Linked DNA regions of Drosophila melanogaster. The protein of the gene in region 1 purifies or fractionates together with the protein of each later gene. This does not show direct contact. Each region holds a gene or a part of one and is shown in the gene's direction. Other genes may lie near its edges.

Region 1 (7,355 bases):
CTGGCGGACAGCGACCAGGGACGCAGAGCTAGGAGATAGGTTTTCAGTTTCATAAACGTTCCGGATGTGGATGGGTGTCCTGTTAGTCGTCCCGTTAGTGCTACTCCGGCATCTGCACCTGCTGCACGAGCTCCAACAACGGCTTCCACCTCCTCACCGTCCTCTGTCTTGGTCTTGCCATTCCTGGACAAGTTGCCATTGGGCAACAGCTGGCTGCTTGTGGCCATGGCAAGCGGCACTGGTTAACTGGCACTTTGCGGTGGAGTGAAACGAGACTAGCCGCCAGGTATTCGTATTCGTCGGATTGTTTGACCTTGGTCACCTCCTCTCCAGAATTTGTTTACAATAGTTAAAGTATTCAATTTGTGCCTTTTTGGATGCCGGCACATGCGCTGCCTGGTCTCGATAATCGCTAATATTGTATACACAGCATCTTGAAAGTGGGGAATATATGCGGGGATATGTATATTATCAGCGGGGGGTGGAGAGCTCAGGTGGTCGGGGTCCCGAAACCACGAAATTTCACCCGTGCAGCTCCCAGTTTCTCACGCTCTCTCTCTCTCGCTGCCCCTCTCTCTCTCTCTCTTTTCCTCGACCGGTGCGAGGATCGTTCTTCTTATATGCCTCTCCTTTTCCGGCTGCGTCTTTGCTTCCGGCTATCGATTCCGGGTTAGTGGCGCAAATCGATTTGGCTGCGATTTTACTCTTAGTTATTTTAATCAAACAAATCAACTGTCACGTCACGTCAGCGCAAAAACGAAAAAAGGTTACACTTTTTCGTTGAAGGTGGCAACGCCGTATCGCATGTGCAGCCCTGCCTATTCCTACAGTTTTTACCCAAATTTCATAAATGAAAATAATTCAGATAATATGCAATAAATATTTAGCGGTACATGTATGTGCATTTTTTATATAATTCGTAAAACAAAGGTGGGTTTTAAATATTTATGTAATCATTGTTATCAACACTTATCAACGTAATTAGTAGTTGAAGTAGCTCACCAAAATATTACTATATCTTTTGCATATTTGCGGAAATGAATCCACATTGAGTATGAAATTCATTTTAAACACGCGAAACAAATTTAATCATATATGATAGATTTGTTTCACAAGCTAGAGTTACGACTGTACCGTTGCAGCCCTGGTCCCAATCAGCTGATAGGAGTTTAGAGCAAAATTTTCAATAATTTTTTTGTTGATTTCTATAAAATTGAAATAAAACATGGACTATAATATCCACAAAATATGCAGAGTTTGCCTGGAGGAACTACATCCTGTAACTTCGATATATAGTACAGACTTTGCTATGATGCCCTCCGTAATGTTGATGCAATGCGCTAAAATAAGAGTGGGTTCTAAAAACAAAATATTTCAATGTTAATTGGCATATGGAAATTGTTTTAGGTTTTTAAAACCGATGGCCTACCTTCGGTGATCTGCAACAACTGTATTTACCGGCTGGGGGTGGCCTTCCACTTCAAGCAGGAATGCGAAAACAGTGATCTCCGACTGCGACAATATCTGGGCATTCTGGAATCCTGGCGCCAGGATGCGGCCACCAATACGGACTTTGTGGAGAAGCCGTTGCTTCCGCAGCGCGATAGCGATGAAGAGGAACCCGTGGATGCCAAAGTGAGCAAGAGGCGGTCGCGCTATCAAAGAAAGCCGCCAGAAGAGCACAAAAAACGGGGGCCCAAACCTGTGCCAAAGATGCCCCACACCTGCTACGAGTGCCACAAAAGCTTCAAATGCATTGCCCAATTAACACAGCATATAAGAACACATACTGGCGAGAAACCCTACCAATGCAGCTTTTGTATCCAGAGATTCGCCCAAAAGTACAATCTTAAAGTCCACGAAAGAACGCACACGGGCGACAAGCCTTTTCAGTGTGAGATCTGCTCAAAGCAGTTTTCCGCGTTAGGCAATTTCCAGGCGCACCAGAAGATTCATTTAGGAGTGCGGGATCAGGTATGCTCGCTATGTCAGAAAGGTTTCTACACCGCCGGTGATCTCTCCAAGCACATGATAACCCATACGGGCATCAAAAACCATCACTGCGATGTCTGCGGCAAGGCTTTCAGCAGGCGAAGAGATATGCGGACTCATAAATTGAAGCTTCATCCTCTGGAGTCCAGTACAAACCATGATATAGTGGATGATGATGATGATGAGGCTATAGACACGGATCCCGTGGGTCTGGACACCCTCGATCACGCCCACTTCAAGTGTCCGGATTGCGACAAGGCATTTGATACGGCGGACAGCCTAAGTCTACATTTTCGCACGCATGCGGCGAATAATAATCTACTGAATTTGCCGTTGCCTCCTGCACCACCTATGTCGCATCACTACCATCACGATGCACTGCATCATCTCGGCCCACCGAATCCCGCCACACAAATGGGAATGGCTGCAATGGCTCACATGTTGGCACCGCCGCCGCCTCCACCGCCAACGCCAAGTGAAGGACGTTACACTATGCTGCACCACACGGCGGCACAAAGACTACATTATTAGAGTATAGCTACGAAGATTTATCTTAATCATAATTATTGTTTTAGATTATGTTTTGATATTGAACACTTTTATTTAGTTTGTCTATATAAAATGGAATATTTTGTCATGTTTGCTTTTATATCTTTACAATAAATACATGTAGAAATTTGGCAAGCACAGCTTCTATTAAGATTATTACTTAAATGCAAGAACTAAAATCACTAAAAACTCCCCGCGCGTACTTGTCGCATACTTGTCGTCGATATAAAAATGTCATTGTTGTATAAACTAAGCTTGATTTGTGTTTTCTGTAGGTAAAAATTGTAGTATCTCAATATTGGTTTGTTTGGTATTGGTATGCATCGTTGGTATCGGCTTAATCCAGTTTGAATATGTATATAAAAAGCTCAAAAATCAATCAGAGAACTATCATAAAATATTGCTTTTGACAACGGCCCGGATTGATTGATCCCAGAGATCGAAACCTCTCTACTTGAGCTTGGCTTTCAGCCACTCCTCGGTGAGTTCGTCTAGTTCGCGTATCTCGTAGACGCGTGTGAGATCTACTTCGCGCTGAAGAGCGCTCTTCGTGCAGGCGTACATCATCTGCAATTCGATCTGAAACAGAGAGTTATGAATTATAGAATATATTTGAGCATTGCTAAACTCCCACCTGGCTATCCCTGGGTGTGTAGAATATGAAGCACATTGGGTACGAAATGCGCTGATCGTCATGGACCATTTTATACGTATAGATGACATATCGGGGCTGGTGTCCTGGCAATGTATCCTGCAGCTCGTCCACCGAAATATCGTCGATGAACTCGTCCAGCACCACCGTTTGCTTCTCCCGGTCGACTTTCACTGCAAGGGACAATGGAGTGGTCATAAAAACTACACACATCTGTTACCATGACAATCAAGGCTTACATATCAAAGCCGCATTATTTTTGCTCTTGCTGAATCGAAACTTCTTCAATTCCTCCAGAACTTCGTTGCTTATGTCGCATATCTGGTTATCACTCTGTATGAAATCGATATAATTGATTAATGAATTGGAATCACCAAAGTTATCTGCTAACAACAATCGTCGATTGAAAAACAAAAACAAAAACACGCCCACACTCTATTAGTCATGTTTTCATTTTGGTAATTGATTTCCGACCCTATATACACTTCCTACCATAACTTTAGCTATGAAGTTAGGGATGCGATCTGTAAAGTGTGCTGCACTACCGAATTTTTGGCAGTTAATTGTAGGAATGCAATATCACTTGTCCTTAAGGAATCGTTTAAATACTGTCGTTTATTCTGAGTTTTGTTTTGTTGTTCCTGCAGTGAGACCGTTCACTGAACGCCAAATAATATTCTGTGCTGCATCAAAAATATGTGAAGTGTTGTTAAACGACGTTTCTGATAAATTAAAAAATAATAACAATATTTGCTAAAGGTTTTTTTTTCATTAAGCTTTTTTCTTTACGGCAACATTGGTATTATTTATGGAATTTATTAAAAATAATTGAAATGTATTTTTTAGATTGAAATAGGAACGCTCTTTTTTAAAAATGTTTTGTAGATATACTTAAAACTTATCATTATTTTATAGTAGGTAAAAATCGTTCGTATACGATATTTGGATCATGTTTGTCCTCTCTAGTGGCTGATGGACTGTCAAAAAAGTACCGTTACTTTAGGGTTGTTACAGAGAGCACTAACTTATAAATAGTTAATACTATAATCTATGTGCTTAATGTCGTAGTTACAATGAGCTTGAATTTATATGAGAGCAACATCCTTAATTCCTGCTGGAAAGCGGGAGGGCGCAAACCGAGGAAATCGGCATTTGGCCAACTTAATCGAAATGAGATCGCTGATGTGGATGTAGTCGCCTGCTGGTAATTAAATATTAAATATAATGAATTTTTTTAACATTTCATTATATTCAATTGTTTTCAACATTTATCTACATTTCAGCAAGCAAATCACCGAATTAATTGAGGAAAATGCATTAAGAAAACGCCAGAAACGATCCAATGTTTTGGCCGCAAGAAACCGGCAAAATGTTATTTTCAAGGACATTTCCCGCTTGGTTTTTGGAGTTGCGGATATTTTTAGATGCCAAGTGGATCTACTTTTGGGTAAGTATTAGTCCGAATATTACGTAACATTGATATATAATCACGAATTCTTACAGGGGACACGAAGGTATTACTTGACCAATGTACACGTACCAACTTGGATTACGTTCTCACCACAACAAAATCCGTAGTGGTCAACAAATCAGAGATTCGAATCCAACGCAAAGGAAAGCGGGTGATCACCAAGAAATCTAAAGTAACAGTATCAAAACGTCCCAGACTGCAGGAATCGGATCTATTGGATGAATTCTCACATGAATACTACGAGAAGATGCTATCCGAATGCCAGATGTGGCAAACGGAGTGCACACAACAGGTGGTGGAGGACCTGAACGAGGTTAGTCGTCAATATACTGTTGGACTGCTTCCTTATATGATTTCATTTTTCGCAAAAAGTCTATTGAACAACCCCGGAGTTGCACTCAGTCAAAGTCGTATCATTCCATTACAATCACCGAAGAGATTGAACTTCCCGAAGATCATAGCTTAATTATGCCATCAAATGGTTTTGGCGAAGCCGAGGGCGCGGACTTAACCATTTTTCAAGAGCTTTACCCCAAAGATGGCACACGGAACTCACGTAAGAATTCTCAATTCAATTGAAAATGTAATAAACTATTTTTTTGTATTATAGTAAAGCGACACTCAATAGCTCAGGATCCAACTGACATCTTACCGGATAAAATGCCCAGATTGGATGATTGCGATGTTTTCCAAGCTGACAATGCTATCATGACCCAAATCTTTCCGCATAACATTGAACCAGCTGAAGTAACTCAGATAGTTTGTGAACCGTCGTTGCCATCCGTTTTAAATTCTTTTGGAGAAATAACATTTAGCCACCCGAAAAATCGGAAAAGAAAGCTAATAGTAGACAAACGAATTGAATACACCCGGGAGCAGCTGGTGAAGCATAGACAGAAATATATGGAAGAATACCTTTCAAGGAATGTGATAGTGCCAAAATCCTCGGATTTACGGAAACCCCCTAAGGAACTTCTCTGTAAACTGTATAATAAGTAGGAGCCTTATACATTTTGCTATTTAAAACTTTTTAATTTTTTGATGTAGTGTAAGTTTTTTAGCTCTTCATAACCACTCCGGACCTAAGCTCAGTAATGAAGAAAAGGAATTCGAGGCAGAAAACACATTGAGAACCATATTTGGCTGCGAGTTTACCGAGAATCTTTCTAAAGAGATATTTGTGCGACCATCGCAGGCTACAAAATGTAGGGATAAAGCGGCACATATCTATCAGCCCGAACCGCTTGAAGTGGAAGACTGTGTGCAACCTCAACTTCAGCCACGTGATGATGTAAATCAGAATTATCATAATGAAATGAATGAGCACGGCATATACCGTGAGGATAATCATGATGGTGAGTTCAGCCAATGTTTACAACATGCTATCGTAAATAAAATATAATCTCATTGCAGATACCTACAGCGTAATGATGAGTCTCTTAAGCATTTGGCGTAATAATCCGAAAATCACGGGAATCGATGCCATTGATTTTATAAAAACGTTTGATAGTCGCATCAAGGCTTCGTTAGCCTTTCTCCATTTGTTGTGTGAGTTCGAAAAAGAACAAAATGTGTGTTGGAAATAACGTATAGCTTAAATTTCAGATCTTGTTCGAGACCATTTTATAGAGATATCAAAGCGAGCTAATTCGCTGGAAATGTACCAAATTACTCTTGGCAAAGAGTCCGCTAAGCTAATAGACAATCTTATGCTGAGTGAGACTCTGTGAATATTTTTAGATAATTTTTTTCAAGATTACCAAACAACTTTGTAGTTGACAATCTTCCACATTTTTGTTGTTGTTTTGTTTTCTGTTATTGCTATTGTGTTATAACATATAAGTTGAGCCAATCTCTAACCTAGATGGCTTTAATCTACTCTTTTTCCATACAATCTTATGGTACAATTGAGCAACGATGTCCTGGATAATTCGTTTCATTTCAAGAATTGAAAAATTCTATAGATGTTACTTGTTGCTGTCTATAAAAATAGTTTTTTTTTCATTATCATATTAGTTTCGTGTACCCATTAAAAGTTGTTTGTTATCTTTGTTACTATTACGTTATCGTAGCTATAATTCATTAACATTTGGAGTAATTCTCTAAACCGTAATTGTTGTCTTTGTTACAAAATCTCAATTTCTCTGACAACACCAAAAAATAAACAAGTTACAAAAACAAAGGAATACAGAGTGTTTGGCACAATTGCTTAAATTCCGATCTGCTGGGCCAGACCCGAATAGATGTGCAGCGTGCAGAATCCAATGACGGCCGCCACCAGCGCTTTAACAGCCACCGTTAGCCAAGGTCCAATGGTCAGAATGTGGAGCATGCCCTCCAGCCAGACGCCTTTGAAGACAGTCACCGCCAGAAGTAGACTAACCAGCGGCTTTAATGCCTTGTTCAAATCGTGACGGGTGAAGAGCCAGATCAGGGTGGCCGTAGTGATGTGCTGCACCAGAAGCACGTTCGATTCCAGACACTTGAGGATGTAGATCCAACTGAACTCGGTGCCTCGGGCACCCACCCACAGCATGATACCTCGGGAAAGAATCACTTCGGCGGTGGCCCCTGCGGAAGTATACGAAAATATTTAGTTTTTACTAAATTTTTGGAAGTTGTCATACATATATGGGTTGGGGTATTAAAGGTTGAGTAGGCATTGGCTCTTGTAACATTAATATATCTGAA
Region 2 (8,311 bases), on another chromosome or scaffold:
CATCGGCCTGCATTTGAACTTCTGTGGTGGCGTTTCCGGGCAACATATGCAGCTCCCGCCTCGACCTTCCCCCATTTAGCAGAAACGAGGGAATATAATCACACACGCCCTGCGAGAACTCGAAGAGGCATCGTTTGAGGAATGGAGCACTCTTGATGTACCAGCGTGCGCACTGGTTCTGGTTAATGGCATCCTGAATGTCCGATTTGGTGCGAATCTGCGCCTTGTGCTCCTCCGACAAGCAGATGAGGCGACTATGCAGCTCCGCAAAACTTTGTTTGTCCTTCATAGTGTCCCAGACGAACGTCTCTCGGGGACAAGTCTCCACACAAACCTGTTGAAATACGTATTTCATTAAAAGTAAGATCAACTCCTTGCAAATTTGATGTTAATGGTATCTCACCTGTGGAGTGTCACATCCAGTGATGGGTACAAGTGGATCGATGCACTGATTCAAGTCGAAAAAGAATAGGTTTTTCTTGTTCAGCACTCCGGAGTCCATGCCACACTTTCGGTTAAAGGAGTCCGTGGGCACCAGCAGTTTGTTGAGATCGCCGTTCCTGATGGCGTATTGGGCTATGAAGGCCCATCCGCCCAGGAAGAGGACGAATAACAGCAGGCAGGGCACATCCGTGCAGCTGCGATCCCTCTGCCTCGGTCCCGTGAAGTTCCGGTCGTAGCGCAGTGGCTCGCCGTACTTGTTCATCAGCTCCACGCTTTCCGTCATCGCTCTCTACTGAAAGAGTCCAAGAAGAACCGAGTGTTTTATGTATGTATATACATAGAGCCACTATCGATGGGTCGTCGTCTCTAGGTAATGAGATTGTCAGGCGTATATCATGTAATTTATTTCCGTGCATGCGTCATTGTTTTAAAAATGGAAAACCGAATCTGTAGTGGGTGGTCGTGTTGGCGGTGAAGCCAACCACCAGCGGCTCTTTTTGTTCTAGTTTATTTGTTAGTTTGGTTGGGGAAAGTACGATGAGTAAATGAAATTGTCGGCGACAAAGTGCGGTTTGATTATATCAACGACAGGCGGCCAACGATCCCTTTTGGATTGAACCACAATTAAATAATATTTCTTCCTATGTTTATGAATAAGACTGTTTAACCTTTTAATGATCAATGAACCTAGCTCTGTAACAAAGTTTTCTACTGGATAAATGAACTTTAAGAATGGCTTTGGATGGGCTGGTGAATTATCCATAATTATTGCTAATACATTCTCCTACAGCAGACTCATTTAATTAATCATGAAAGCAAATAGAGAGCAGAAATAAATAAAGTATCGCTCATTCGGTTTAAGAGCTCCCCTGATAACGATAGCGATCGCAACTGTACGAACCTCTTGGGGATGCGAAAATCTGCGAAGAGGTAGCAGTAAAGCAGCTCGAGCATGTCGCAAATCGGCAATAATGACGCATTAAAAAGCAAATTAAATTTGTGCGCTCACTTGTTGCTGTTGTTTGATTGTTTATGTGTATCGCTTTATTTTTGTGTGCGGCTTCTGTCCATTTGAGATGAAAAACTGGCTGCCGCCTTTAATAGATGAATTACCAAAAAAACACACAAGTTTTCATAGAAAATGGGAAACCAATTTGGGTTGGCAAGGCATTTGGGGCCACATGTTTCAAGGTCGATTGCCGTAACTCCATTTTGGTGTAGGAATTTCAATGTCTGGGAGTAGAGTTTATCATTCAAGCAGTGCTACGGGCAACACTCTCAGTAGCTAACCTTTTTTTCTTGCAAAGAAACTTGTAGACATGATAAGAAAACGGGTGTTCGTTTTGATATCTAACCCATTTGCATAATTTGTAGTGTAGAAAACTGGTTTAAACCTAAGTTGTCCTTGCATCGAGTGTTTACTGTGTTCACCTTGGACTACGTCACTTGAGATAAAAGAAAGCAGTCGCAGTTCTGATCTTATCTTATAATGGTAGTCTCTTGTTTCCCATATGAACGATTTCCCCTTGTTGTTTTTTGGAACTACAAATGTACAAGGCCCCGTAATTTCGTAATGAAGCAGTATTACTCACCTTTGCTTCGGAGCCGAACGATTCTTCCAGAGATGTAACAAAGGAGCTCCACTCTTCTCGTCGCTTTTCCTTTCTTTCTTAAAGTTCCTTTATTGTCTCATGACACTTTTTTACGAGCGGCTGGGGGCTTTTTGTTTAGCTGGTTTCCTGGGACGGAGTCACTACTCCGGCGAAAGTCACCGGACCACTGAAAGCGGGAAGCCTTTGTCGGAGCTCCGTATCCCGTACGTTGCTCTTTGGACGTCGGTCACTTGCATTCGTTGGATAAATATGTACATACATACATAAAAGAGCTCGAGTGGGGCTGCAAGCATAAAGGCAGCATAAGTGTTTATGTGCTAGTGTTTGTGTGGTGCCACTTGGGGATTGGGGGTGGGGGAGTTGGGGATTGGGTTGGATTGGATTGTGAAAAGAGCAGCACGGCACACTTTTGTTAATTGCACAATCCTAATCGTTTTCACCCGATAACGAGCACTGGCCATTCCCGTTATAATAACACCTTGCAGTTTCGACCGAATTCGAATTTCTGTGCATGCAACTCTTTTCGTTTCGCTTGTTTTTGTTGTGGAGCGGGCGCATGAAATTAAGCCCCCAAGCTCACGTACTGCGACTCACTTGCACTTGCGCTAATTAAACGGCGAGCACTTGACTTTCTACGAAGTAAACTCCTTCACAATCGAAATAATACTGAATCGCCCCAAGAAAATCTGCCCACCACCCGCGGCCCCATACTCTGAACAGCTGTGCCGAACAGTGCTGCACAACGGCCCGTTCTGGTCAAAACAAAGCAGAAATGTGTGTGGAATGTGGCACTGCACAGGGATGCACAAAAGCTAGTGCGAGTGTTGGCCGCTTTCAAGCCAGATCTCGTTACTTGTTGGAAAGTTTTAGAGCCGCGTAAGTTATAAAAAAGTTTACATTATATTTTGATTTTGGGTCCTTTTTAAACAATTAAGCTTACAACAGCATAAGCCACCTATATATTTTACGTAACCTATCAACTTGGTAGCTCGAAACTTTACTTTAAAAATGAGCTAGATGCCAAGCTAATGAATTTCTAACTAACGGAATTTTGGAAATACATAGCACCCATAACAACTAAATATTGCCAAATGCAGCCAGCCGCAGCAAGTCTCGGCTTGTGCTGCGCGCAGTGTGAACGGCTCGGAGTAATTTGCGAAAACCGCGACCAGTGCTGCGCAACGCGAGTGCGAAAGCCAAAAGCAGGGTCGGATCTTTGGTGCGGGGTGGAGCGGAGAGAATGTAGCGTTGAGGATTTTAACAAGAAACAATTTAAGAATCGCGCTCCTGGCCGTGCGAAAAGCGCCTGGTCGAATCGTTTAAATGTCCCCTTTGGTAGCGTCGATTGCGTGTGTTTAATCCCCGGTGCGCTGCTTTTACAGACTGTGTTGTTTTCGTGCCGGCAAGCCAACCAATTTGAAACCCCCCAAAAAGTTTCCACTTTTTCATTCCCCCAGAAAAGTGACAATTATTCGTGGCCGTGGTCGGCGGATGCAGCTGCAAAGCGGGCGGCGATTAAAGTAGTGCAATCCGGCGCAGGTCCTCGCCATTTGTTTATGTTGATAAAGCAGTGTTTGTGGGGCGACAACAAGAAAGTGCAGCTCAGAGTGAAATTGCCACGGTTATTAAGTGGTTGTGGTTGCTTGGTGTACGTGCAGAAAACCTAAAACAGACATCCCCAGAAGAAGAGGAAGCAGCGGAAAAGGAGGAGGAGGAGCATCAGCAGCAGCGACGTCTCTGTTGTTTTTGTTTGGCTGCGAGAGAGAGAGAGGGAAAGAGCAACGAAGAACACGCGGCTCTTTCGAAAAAAAAGGGCGGGAAGGCCCTTTCGGCTCAAAGGAAACCCTATCCCACTGAATATCCGTAACTCTGCCCGCCGGAAATGTCAAAGGGGGGCGAGCACAAGCGCGTCACCCTCACCTCGATCATCCAGGGCGATGCGGGCTTCTCGCGCTTCGGCAGCAACATCCTGGAGCCTGATGCTGCGTCCGCTGCACCCGACAACAGCTCCAAACCCACGACAAAGACTGCCAAGTGCATCCGCATCAAACTCGATCTGTTCGAGACCGATTCGAACAAGTATCCCGAGTTTAACTACTCCCGGCTTTTGTATTTGGAAAAGGTAAGAGTGTATAACTCAGTTGGAGGATCGCTTTCTAAACCCTTGCAATCCGTAGAAAAAGACCAAAAAGCTGAAGCAGGTGAGCACTACCAATGGCTCCGCAAGCACTGATCCCTTTGCCGACAACGATGACGATGTGGCACGGATCGTCAAGGAGCTGGAGGCCAAGTATGGCAACTCCTATGCCACAGGCAGGGGGAAGAGCAAAAAGGACGACTACCGGGACATTGGAATGGGCTACGATGAGTCGGACTCATTCATCGACAACACGGAAGCCGTAAGAACAAGAAATATTTCCGACGAATGCACTGAAATTATTTACCTTAAACTCTATGTTCTGTCCAGTACGACGAAATCATACCGGAGGAGGCGGAAACTCTGGAGGGCGGCTTCTACATCAACTGTGGCGCACTGGAGTTCAAGAACCTCACCAAGAAGTCCTACACCACTCGAACAGATGCCATCATCAAAATGCCAGAGCGATCACGCAAGCGCATGGTCTCGTCCAGCTCGGAAAGCTCATCGTCATCCTCGGGCGATGATGACGAAAACGATGATGGCAACAATGAGGAGGACGACGAGAGCGATTCCGAGGACGACTCCGAGGAGAACGATGAAAGCGACTCCGAAGACGACTCCGAGAGTGAAAGTCTTGAGGACGAGGACTCTGCTGCTACAGCCAAATCCAGCAGCAAGTACAAAGACAATCATCAAGCTAAGCGGGCCAAGGTCATCGTTACGGGCAAGTCCAAACCAAGCTCAAGTTCTTTGACGAGTGGCAAGAAGCCGCCGACTAAGCCGATCACCACTTCCTCATCCTCAAACTCGCCACGACCCAGCACGGTGGAGATTTCGGACACGGAAGACGGCCAAGACCCTATCCAGACTCAGCCATCAAGTCAGCTTCAGTCCCTGCCGCAGAGTCAGGCCCAGGCGCAAGCTTTAAAGAAGGTGGTTAAGACCACAACGGTCAAGGACATGCTAAAGGCCAAGCGAGACAGCTTCCTGAAGTCGCAGAGCGGCACGGCAGCTGTCAAGGGCGTCGGCAACGGCGAGCTGAAGTGTGTTTCCACCGACGTGTCCAGCAGCGATAGCAGCGATATGGAGTCTGAGCACGGCCGGGCAGATAGGCAGGCCGGTCAGCATGGCAAGGATGGGCAGGAAAGTGAGTTACATATACAGTATTAGTTGGTTGAAATCACCCTTTCACGTGTTCATTTTTAAGATCTTCGCACCGCCGACACTCTGCTCCCCACCACATTGGATGCGGACATTGTGACCGCAGTCAACAGCTTCAAAGAAGCGGTGAAGAGTCGAGACATGTGCGGCAAGAAGTTTAATCTGGATGTGAAGCTTTCGCCACTACTGCTTCGGTGAGTTTGCAGCCGATGTAAACATCAAGTACAGATTTAAGGCTTATATCCATTAACCTACACCAGGGTGTACGAGGCGGTGCTGTGCACGGACCGCAACGAGCGCAACATGGTCTTCTCCCACATCGAGTATCAGCTGCAACTGCCCAAGTACTACATGCTGCGCAAAGGGAAACAAGTGCGGGCGAAGGAGGAGAAGAGGAAGTCCACCATTATGCTGGAGAAGCTGCGGCGGGCTGTAGCTGTGGTCATGCCTAAGGCGGTGGCCAACTATGAGACGGAACTGCGCACATTTGCTGAACAGGCGTAAGATTGTTGTTAAGCGAAATAACGATTAGGTTCCTTTAGATTATGATTATTATTTTCAGAGCTGCGGACGTGAACTCCGAACTGCCGCCCAAAATGCCGCGTAAGAAGTTCCAGTGGACCAGCGAGCTACGCCATCTGCTGTACGATGTGTACCAAGCGCGTTGGACGTCCTACGCTTTCCTAGCCAAGCGCAAGGAATCGTTGGAGGAGTTCATCAATTGGTATCTCAAGGAAAAGGTGGTGGAACTGTGGCCGCCAGGCTGGATGCGTTTGGATGAGTTGCAAAGGGAAATAACACGCTACAAGAACGCCAAGCTGAAAGCAAAGGAGAAGCCAAAGGCACCGCCGGCGTCCGCATCGCCCAAGCCCGTTGGAGTTGTATCTGCTCCTGAGCAAATGCCGCCGGCAAGCAGCTACCTAAAGGCAGTGGAGGACCCTCGATCTCGAGGTAACTCCGATACGGACTCAGCTACAAGTGCCTCCTCCAACAGTCTGAAGCGAAAGCTGAAGGAGATGCCCAAGCAGACCAGCAAGCCGCCAAAGAAAAAGGTGGCTAAGCAGGTACCGCTGCAACCGCAACTTACTCCGCATCCGCAATTCCAGCTGGCGCCGGCTGCCACGGCGGCCGTCAGTATACCAGCCATTAGCAATAACAACAACCACCTGCCCCACCTGGACACGCTGCTCTCCATGCCGAGCACCTCGGCTCAGGCAGCAGCACTCAATGCCGCCGCCGTAGCAGCCGCCAGTACGGTTCTGGATCTGGCATCCCCTAGCCGGAAAATTGACCTTAACACCAGCAACAATTTCTACAATCTGATCACGGCCGCCTCCCTGGCAGCCAGCGGGAATCCCAGTCCGCATTCTGGAGACGGCCAAGCCAAGGTGATTGTGGGAGCTCGGCCCTCTCCCCATGTGATCAACCTGGATGACTATCAATGCACCAGCGATATACTTCAGACGTCCAAGCAGCTAGCTGCCACCACCACTGTCATCACCGCCATCTCAAAGGCCGCGCAAACGACGTCGGTAGCCAGGGAAAGCAGCAGCGAGTCGGATGGCGTTGAGATTGTGGGAGTTTTTCCTGCCTCTAAGCCCCAAAAGAAAGTCCAGTCTAAGCCCAAGAACAAGACTCAGAACAGAGGTCGGTCGTCTTTGGGTGCGGTGGGGCAGGTAAATGGATCCCTGGGCTACAGCGCGAATAACATGTATATCTACAATAGCCCAAGAACGCTGGGTCCAGTGTACGATCTCACCGATCCGCATATAATGAAAACTATGTCAAATCTGAAGGAAATGGAAAAGCAATTCATTCAAGCGGCTTTCTCGCCGAACAGCGTCAAGGGCGCAAGCGGAGGAATGGGATCCTCAGCGCCCAGTACGCCCACGCGCCAATGACATTCGGGATCGGCCGCACAGCAGCCCCTTCCGGCTGCTGTGACGGCCTTTTACAACCAGGAGGCGATGGCCGCCGCCATCGTGCTCTCCACGATGAGCCACGCCTCGCCGCGCTACGACCTGCTGGCCAACGGCTCCGTCTCCATGTCCGCCGCCCAGGTGGGAGCCTCTGCCAACACACTGCCACAAGTATTCGTTAAACCCAGCCTGCCGCAGCCCAGCGCTGGCGGCGATGTGGTGACCACGACTGGAGCTGCTCGCCCATCCACGCAACAACTGCCCACAAAGTTCATTTAGCTAGGGTCACTCAGCTCGTTCCCTTGCGATTCTAATCTAAGATTCTAGTGCTGATTCTAGGTAGGTTTCATTCGCAGCTGTGTCTGCCGATTTTCCAATTATTGCACCAGTTTAATTATTGTTTCTCATTGAGTCGTTTACCTACTAAGTCAGTGTACTATGCAAGCATTAATAAAGCAAATTTATATATATTTATTTATAGAGAACCATTTTTATTAAATAAAGGCGAATAAGTTATGTAATAGAAATAAATCCAAAAGGCGCATTTTCTTTACACACAGCGAATATATATGTATATATATAATTGATACAAAATTAGTTCTGTAAACCAAAGGATAACGCTAAAACCAGCAACTGCCGATAAACACCGACGTGCTGTCACAGAAACGATTACTTAGTCTAATTTGTAAAAGATAACACGCGTGTCTCATGATGATATAGCCGAAAGATCGGACGTCTGTTGGTCTGCGATCATTTGATCCAGCGCAGCACCGATGTGGCCGCCATTCGCACGAAGGCGATGGTAGACTGCTGGTTGGCCGCCGGCATCAGATTGGGATCCGCCAGCTCCGGCTGCGGTGTCAGGCTGGGCACCGCCTCCCAGTCCATGCGCAGAGAGTTTTCGTCTGGAAAGGCATCAGCATCAGTTTGAAAAGATTATTCCCCTCAAATTGCTAAACCAACTCACCCTCTGACTCCGATTCCGTGGCGGTCTCGATGCCGATTAGTAGGGAGTCCACTGACTTCATGAGTGG
Region 3 (8,230 bases), on another chromosome or scaffold:
TGTTGACTAGCTAGCCGAGGCTCTGGATATCTTTATTCTTTAGTCTCTGTTTCCATAACCGCCGTGTTGATCTAATTTTATTGACCTCATGTGACCGTGTTAAGTTTGCTTGTTAGCTGTTGACTCAGCGCCTCCTCTCCTCTCCCCCCCTCCAAAATACGTTAATACATACATATGTAATTATACATAATTATCGAACCAATAATATTTGTGTTTACTACCAATTCCACCTATTCCCGCCCTGAATGAATCCCGCTTTTTCGTTTGCATACATATGTTCTATTTGCTCTGCTGTCATTTTGTTATTTTTATTTGTACGGTGTCATGGCACTAGATATTTGTATTTAACCGGTTTGTCAAAAGGTTAATTACGCCACATTCACTGTCACACATCTACACTATGACACACCCTGTTGCCAGTAACAGGCAAAAACTTATTGATGAGAGCCAGGTGAGAGCTCTAAGCCAAAATGGGCAGAAACCGGAGTCTGAAAAGTGATATTTTTGAATGCCTCTCAAGTGAAATATATAGAGAAAAGGTATTATATTGAATAGAGTAGCAAAGTATGAATATAATTTTATCTTCATTTAACTACTATTTAATGTAGGCAAATTGTATTTAATTTTTTGAATAACAAAAAAGAGAAAAGTGAACTTTTTAACCATGATTCTAAACCAACCAGCTCAACTTACGAAAGATTTTTAATGTTTTAAACAAAAAGAAAAGGTTTTTCTCCGGAAACGTAGACTTTTATAAAGCGGCATGCGATGTTTTTTCCATTATCTGATTGGTATATAATCTATAAAATTTATATAAGGATAGTTTAGATAAGAACTGCACCTTAACGATAGCTGCAACCCAAGTAGACCACCAAGCAGAAAATTCAAGCAATCTGCATTGACTTCCCCCACCCACCGTACAGTGGGTCAATGGAAATCCGAACTGGCGCAGCCCTTGCCCACTCCCACTAATTGGCAATGTTTTGATGACTGACTGACTAACTGGTGGAACGTACAGTGGGCCGTAAAAGTCTGTGGTGCCCACCGTACTCGAACGATCGAATGGTGTAAACATTTTCGAGCCCATCTATGGTCCGAAAACCAAGAAGACAGAGAGCATTAATTTATGCGGGCCCGGTCAATTGAAATTCGTGTGGCTTAGTAACCTTCAGCAACTATTAGATAACTATATTACCCTCATACCAGTGGACACTTAACCAATGTATGTGTATGGGTGTGCATTTACCCACCTACCTATAAACATATAAATATATATATATATATACATACATACAGTCGTATGCCTTATCAAAGTGAACATTAATCAATTTACTTAATCGAATGAAAACGTTTACAATTGTGTAGTATTTTATGAGTACATAGGACAATTTCATGTTGGATTTCAGTTAATGATCAGTCGAATTAAGTGTGTAATGACTATATAAACCAAACATAAAGCATAATGCAAATCAAACGCCTCAATCACTTCGAATACATTGCCCTTGCACTTGAATTATCGTAATTTCTATTTAACTTTTCAAAACAGCATCTTTATAAAGCATCAATACAAATTATATCTAGTGAAAATATATAAAAAAAAATAAACCTTTAATAATAGAAATTATTAGAATTTTCACTTTTCTTGCCAACTTCTCACTCCGCCTTCACCTGGCCTCGTGTCCAACTACCAGTGATGTACTTCAGGTAATAGGCCCTCCAGTTAAGTCCGGTGAGGCAGTCAGTGTGCTAGATAAACTTGAGTTAGTCGATTTTGACGTTAGGTTCTTCATTTTTGCTAATTTGAAACTTGTGTCGGTTAGCTCAACGAGGGATTTTTGAGAAAACTATGGGTTAGCGAGTTGTTGGAATCGTGTTGTTCAGGGTAGAAAGTATTGACGGTGACGCACATGATCCATTTACGCCGGTAAACCAAGAGTTTTGCGCACCAGCCGTCGGGCGATGGCGTTGAACTCATCCCTCTGTTCGCGCCACATAATTGCTGCATCCACATTAGCGCCGCTCTCATCGTTGGGTTCTGTGGGCAAAAATGAACGACATCAGTTTGAACTTAAGGAATGAACAAGTGAAGTGAACTATCGGCATGATCAACCATATAATCTAGTGAACAAATGAACTTGGAAGTAGATACCCCCGTTGGAATTGCCCTTAAGACTTTATTGTGACTTTTTTCTTACCCGCCAGCATGCTGACCACACTAAGCAAAATCTTCTCCACGCTCTGGACAGGACTCCAGCGCTCCGCGGATAGCTCGTAGCCCATGGGATCGTCGCCGGGTGCGTGTAGTATTGATATGCAGACCCGCCCGTCGGCGAATATGTTGGGATGGAACATGTCACAAGTGAATTTCATTTTAGGCGGACTCAGAGGATAGTCGGTCGGAAAGATGAGCCGGGCAGGAAACACTCCGCCCTCGAAACAAGTGCCCTCAGGTCCGCTGCAAAGGGCAAAGTGCAATTAATGGGTTAATCTGTCCACATCTGTCCGATCCGTGTCGATCGTTCGGGGATCTTAACTCACGCAATCAGTGCCTCCCACTCGAAGAAGTTGTCCTCGCTGATGGGGCCGGCCACAATGCCCTCGGGCGGGTCAAGTGTTAACTCTGGAGATGATCGGAGCGGTGGTAAGGGAAAGCTGTTGCTGCCCTGTGGACTTTCGACTCACGTTTGTATTCCGCCATCAGGCGGCGCAGTGCGGACCCAGCCATCCTAAATGCGCTCGATGGTAATGATGATGGTTCAGTTCACGGGCTCCTTCTCCCCACTGTGACCACTTCCTTTGAGTTTCCTTCAGCTGCTTCTCCGTTTCCTGTCCACCTGCTCCTGCACCTGCTACACCCGAATGGGGTCCTTGCTTGTTTTGGCGGCAATCGCGAACTTTCCAGATCCTCGGGCACGGGTCAAAATACAGACACGTCGTAATATAATAAACACAAACGGTGTTCCGTGTTTATTTATATCGAATGAATCGAGTGGCTTTCTATAAAAATATATCTGTACTGAGTGAATTTAACAAGAGTAATCGATTCGATTCGATAACGTCGGCTATCGTTGTTTTAGTATTTCACACCTTCAAACTACCTTATTAAATTAATTATTTGTTTGCTTCTTAAACCATTATTGATGGACACTTTTAGTTGTAAAATTTAAAATTATTTTTTTGTTTTATATCATTTGAATTTTTGGTTCGATTGCAAGCCAGTGTTTTTCAAAGTTGGGATATCGATGACATCGATAGTGAAACGCAAACATCGATAAGTCGCTGCCCGAGTCGATATTATTTATGTATTTGTTGTAAAACAAAAAGAGCGCGATTTTGTGCAAAAAATCGCATATAATAAGATGCACATCAAGCAGGTGAGTGTTGAAATGACGGCCATGCTCCTGGCCACCCATTGGACACCGAAGATCTGAAATCCACCCGTTAATTCCAGATTATTATACAAGGCTTCAAGAGTTACAAGGACCAGACGGTGGTGGAACCATTCGACAAGCGCCATAACGTTGTTGTTGGACGTAATGGCTCCGGGAAGAGCAACTTCTTCTACGGTTAGTATCAGCTCCAGCCTGCCTGTTCAGCTAACCATATTTAATCGACCCTAATGCTATCCCATCCACTTTGCAGCCATCCAGTTTGTGCTAAGCGATGAGTTCACCCACTTGCGGCCGGAGCAGCGTCAGTCGCTTCTGCACGAGGGAACAGGTGCCCGCGTCATCTCCGCCTATGTGGAGATCATCTTCGACAACTCGGACAACCGAGTTCCAGTGAGTAGTCAAACCAAGTGACCCAGAAAACATAGTCTTTGCAAGAACTCTACTGCCTTGGAAGATGTAGTCAATGGTTGTAACATATCGCTCAAAATCCTCTAAAGCAACCCGCTCATAGCATCTTCTCATAATATTCAAACTTATAGGCAAACATTTCTAGCCACTTCATAACTGACGCTACGCTTATTTTGTAGATCGACAAAGAAGAGATCTTTCTGCGGCGCGTGATTGGCGCCAAAAAGGACCAGTACTTCCTCAACAAGAAGGTGGTGCCGCGCAATGAGGTGGTCAATCTGCTGGAATCGGCTGGTTTTTCCAGTTCAAATCCCTACTACATTGTCAAGCAGGGCAAAATCAATCAGATGGCAACTGCCGCCGATTCCTATCGTCTCAAGCTGCTACGCGAAGTCGCGGGAACGCGTGTTTACGACGAACGGAAGGAGGAGTCGTTAAATCTATTGCGCGAGACGGACAGCAAGGTGGAGAAAATCAGCGAGTACCTAAAGACCATCGAGGATCGGCTCCAGACGCTCGAAGAGGAGAAGGAAGAGCTAAAGGAGTACCAGAAGTGGGACAAGACGCGCCGCACGCTAGAGTATATACGCTACGAAACCGAGCTGAAGGACACCAAGAAGGCTCTCGACGAGCTCCAGCTGCAGCGCAAGTCGTCCTCGGACAAAAAGAAGATCTACAACATTGAGATTCAGAAGGCACAAGAGAAGATCAAGGATGTGCAAAAGAACCTTAAAGAGGCAAAGAAGAAAGTGCAGAGCACAAAGGAGGAGCGCTCCGTACTGATGACGGAGCAGCAACAGTTACTGCGCGAGAAAACGAAACTAGACCTAACCATTGTCGATCTAAATGACGAGGTTCAGGGCGACAACAAGTCCAAGGAGCGGGCTGACCAGGAGCTTAAGAACCTTAAGGTAACGATAGCCGAACGCGAAAAGGAACTGGACGACGTAAAGCCCAAATACGAGGCGATGAAGCGCAAGGAGGAAGACTGCTCCCGAGAGCTGCAGCTCAAGGAACAGAAGCGCAAGGAGCTTTACGCCAAGCAGGGTCGCGGTTCACAGTTCTCCTCTAGGGAGGATCGCGACAAATGGATCACCAACGAGCTGAAGTCAATTAGCAAACAGACGCGCGATAAAATCGCTCATCACGCAAAACTCGTGGAGGATCTGAAGAAGGACGCTACCTCCGAAAAGGATCTGGGTCAAAAGATCGAGGAGCACTCATCGGAACTGGAGCAGCTCCGACTGCAGATCGACGAGCACAACAAGAAGTACTACGAGCTTAAGAAGACCAAGGACCAGCATCAGTCCATGCGAAACGAGTTGTGGCGCAAGGAGACACAGATGACGCAGCAGCTGCAGACGCACAAGGAGGAGCTATCGCGGGCGGACCAGGCGCTGCGCAGCATGGCCGGCAAGCCGATCCTGAACGGTTGCGATTCTGTGCGCAAGGTTCTCGACAGCTTTGTGGAACGTGGCGGTCAATCGGCGGAGATTGCGAGAGCCTACTATGGACCCGTCATTGAGAACTTCAGCTGCGACAAGACCATCTACACGGCGGTGGAGGTAACAGCCGCCAATCGGTTATTCCATCACATTGTGGAGTCAGAATACGAGGGCACGCAAATCCTCAAGGAGATGAATAAGCTGAAATTACCGGGCGAGGTGACCTTTATGCCCCTGAATCGACTTCAGGTTAAAATACACGATTATCCGGATGATCCCGACTCCATACCTATGATCTCCAAACTGAAGTACGATGAACAGCACGACAAGGCGCTGAGGTATATCTTTGGAAAAACGCTAATCTGCAGAAATTTGGAGCGCGCCACCGAGCTGGCCAAGAGCACTGGGCTGGATTGCGTTACGCTGGACGGAGATCAAGTGTCCTCCAAGGGATCCCTCACTGGCGGCTATTTCAATACATCCCGTTCCCGTCTTGAGATGCAAAAGAAGCGCACGGAATACACCAGCCAGATAGCTGAATTCGAAAAGAAACTCAGCAAGCTGCGAAACGAGCTCAAGTCCACCGAGAACAACATCAACTCAATCGTATCCGAGATGCAGAAGACGGAAACGAAGCAGGGCAAGTCGAAGGATGTATTCGAAAAGGTGCAGGGCGAGATTCGCCTGATGAAGGAGGAGCTGGTGCGCATCGAGCAGTATCGTGCGCCCAAGGAGCGCTCACTGGCCCAATGCAAGGCCTCATTGGAGTCCATGACCAGTACGAAATCTAGTTTGGAGGCGGAGCTGAAGCAGGAGCTGATGTCGACGTTGTCGTCGCAGGATCAGCGTGAGATTGACCAGCTGAACGACGACATTCGTCGACTGAACCAGGAGAATAAGGAAGCGTTTACGCAGCGTATGCAGTTCGAGGTGCGCAAGAACAAGCTAGACAACCTGCTGATCAACAATCTGTTCCGGCGTCGCGACGAACTGATCCAAGCGCTGCAGGAGATTTCCGTGGAGGACCGCAAGCGAAAGCTAAACAATTGCAAAACGGAACTGGTTTCCGCCGAAAAGAGAATCAAGAAGGTCAACTCCGATCTGGAGGAGATCGAAAAGCGGGTAATGGAGGCTGTGCAACTGCAAAAGGAGCTGCAGCAGGAGCTCGAAACGCATGTGCGTAAGGAGAAGGAGGCCGAGGAGAATCTTAACAAGGATTCCAAGCAGCTGGAGAAATGGTCGACCAAGGAGAACATGCTCAACGAAAAAATCGATGAGTGTACGGAAAAGATTGCCAGCTTGGGCGCCGTGCCGCTAGTTGATCCTTCCTACACACGCATGTCCCTGAAGAACATCTTCAAAGAGCTGGAGAAGGCAAACCAGCACCTGAAGAAGTATAACCATGTGAACAAGAAAGCCCTGGATCAGTTCTTGAGCTTCTCCGAGCAGAAGGAGAAGCTCTATCGCCGCAAAGAGGAGCTCGACATCGGTGACCAGAAGATCCACATGCTAATTCAGTCATTGGAGATGCAAAAAGTGGAGGCCATTCAATTTACGTTCCGACAAGTGGCGCAGAACTTCACCAAGGTGTTTAAGAAGCTGGTGCCCATGGGCGCGGGCTTTCTCATCCTGAAGACCAAGGACAACGAAGGCGACGAAATGGAAAAGGAGGTGGAAAACTCCGATGCTTTCACAGGGATCGGCATTCGGGTTTCGTTCACCGGCGTTGAGGCTGAGATGCGTGAGATGAACCAGTTGTCTGGTGGACAGAAGTCGCTTGTCGCCCTGGCCCTCATTTTCTCCATCCAAAAGTGCGATCCAGCTCCCTTCTACCTATTTGATGAGATAGATCAGGTGAGTCGTCACATTACCTATAATTACGCATTACTTTATTTGATTGACTAATGATCTACTAATGTTTTGTGCAGGCGCTGGATGCAATGCATCGAAAGGCGGTGGCGAACATGATCCATGAGCTCAGCGACACTGCCCAGTTCATTACGACAACGTTCCGGCCGGAATTGCTGGAGAACGCGCACAAGTTCTACGGCGTGCGATTCCGAAATAAGGTCAGTCACATTGATTGTGTGACCAGGGAGGAGGCCAAGGACTTCGTCGAGGACGACAGCACCCACGCCTAGGAAATTGCCCCGCCCAAAACCTCATCCCTCAACCCACCACAACCATCTCTCGCCCCAATTATTAGTTTCGTAGGCGTACGATTTGTTTTCACATTCTTTTAAATCGTATACATATATATATATATAGTTTTCTTTCTAACGATACTTGCTACATTTAATTTTCCTTAACAATGAGAGTTAGTTTTCGGCTAGGCCGTGCTCGTTGCGTGGAACACTTCGAGCCGGCGAACAAAACCGAGAGTATAGAAACTCCAAGCCCAGATCAATATGTAATAAAGCGCATAGAGAAGTAATTTAAACTATATTTAAAACGAAAATATGTATTAAAAAGCTTATGCAAAAGGAAACCGTCTAATCCAATATAATTCCACACTTTTATGTATGTATGATAACAATGCAATAATTGTTTCGAAATAAGAAGTCTGGTTTATTACTCAAAAAATTGTTCAACAACGTGCATCTTATAATTAAATGTTGGTGTCTTAGAGCTTGGCAATCAAGGCTCCAGTCCCTGGTTGCCCGACCAGCTACTCTCAGCTGGCCACAGCGTCCAGTTGCTCCTGGATGGCATTCAGCGCAAAGATGGTGCTAAAGCACATGCCCACGGTGGCCACCTCCAATTGGCTGATGTTGTAGTGCAGCGGCAGTCGCCACAGGACAAAGTGATTCAGCAGAACAAGCAGGGCCAGGCCAAGTGACCACCAGTGCTCGTCGACGATGGCGATGCGCCAAAGACAGTGGACATTCCACAGAACACAGAGGCCCAATTGCGCGGCATCCAGTTTTATGAATGTGGCACCCAGTGGACTGCGACTGTTGCCGAACCACAAGCTGGTGACTGCAA

Evidence for each region. The genes of interacting proteins can lie anywhere in the genome.
Region 2: the proteins of c(2)M (region 1) and yem purify together in Drosophila melanogaster (affinity purification with western blotting; one study listed by BioGRID). This does not show direct contact.
Region 3: the proteins of c(2)M (region 1) and SMC3 purify together in Drosophila melanogaster (affinity purification with western blotting; 2 studies listed by BioGRID). This does not show direct contact.

Annotation. Positions count from the first base shown.
Region 1 is NT_033779.5:16,299,086-16,306,440, forward strand, and holds c(2)M (crossover suppressor on 2 of manheim), read left to right. Parts: upstream 1-4,178; 5' UTR 4,179-4,266; coding exon 4,267-4,397; intron 4,398-4,476; coding exon 4,477-4,640; intron 4,641-4,696; coding exon 4,697-4,977; intron 4,978-5,036; coding exon 5,037-5,220; intron 5,221-5,274; coding exon 5,275-5,659; intron 5,660-5,711; coding exon 5,712-6,019; intron 6,020-6,077; coding exon 6,078-6,212; intron 6,213-6,269; coding exon 6,270-6,394; 3' UTR 6,395-6,855; downstream 6,856-7,355. Other genes in the region: heix (heixuedian), read right to left, coding at 1-227; CG17328 (uncharacterized protein), read left to right, coding at 1,226-1,351, 1,408-2,523; GMF (glia maturation factor), read right to left, coding at 2,992-3,120, 3,176-3,366, 3,433-3,526, 3,686-3,688; CG5861 (uncharacterized protein), read right to left, coding at 6,874-7,235.
Region 2 is NT_033777.3:29,117,830-29,126,140, reverse strand, and holds yem (yemanuclein), read left to right. Parts: upstream 1-3,261; 5' UTR 3,262-3,939; coding exon 3,940-4,179; intron 4,180-4,234; coding exon 4,235-4,456; intron 4,457-4,524; coding exon 4,525-5,344; intron 5,345-5,404; coding exon 5,405-5,552; intron 5,553-5,618; coding exon 5,619-5,858; intron 5,859-5,920; coding exon 5,921-7,259; coding exon of another isoform or gene 7,260-7,556; 3' UTR 7,557-7,811; downstream 7,812-8,311. Other genes in the region: Ctl2 (choline transporter-like 2), read right to left, coding at 1-334, 404-727; Atg14 (Autophagy-related 14), read right to left, coding at 8,028-8,182, 8,245-8,311. UniProt on the Drosophila melanogaster protein: May play a key role in egg organization. May be a transcriptional regulator having a role in chromatin remodeling in concert with Hira, a histone chaperone. Involved in chromosome segregation by affecting kinetochores function in the first meiotic division.
Region 3 is NC_004354.4:16,588,496-16,596,725, reverse strand, and holds SMC3 (structural maintenance of chromosomes 3), read left to right. Parts: upstream 1-3,286; 5' UTR 3,287-3,359; coding exon 3,360-3,374; intron 3,375-3,451; coding exon 3,452-3,566; intron 3,567-3,642; coding exon 3,643-3,782; intron 3,783-3,979; coding exon 3,980-7,099; intron 7,100-7,173; coding exon 7,174-7,386; 3' UTR 7,387-7,730; downstream 7,731-8,230. Other genes in the region: CG9784 (uncharacterized protein), read left to right, coding at 1-10; Ubc7 (ubiquitin conjugating enzyme 7), read right to left, coding at 1,917-2,035, 2,196-2,455, 2,539-2,620, 2,683-2,725; CG13014 (uncharacterized protein), read right to left, coding at 7,920-8,230.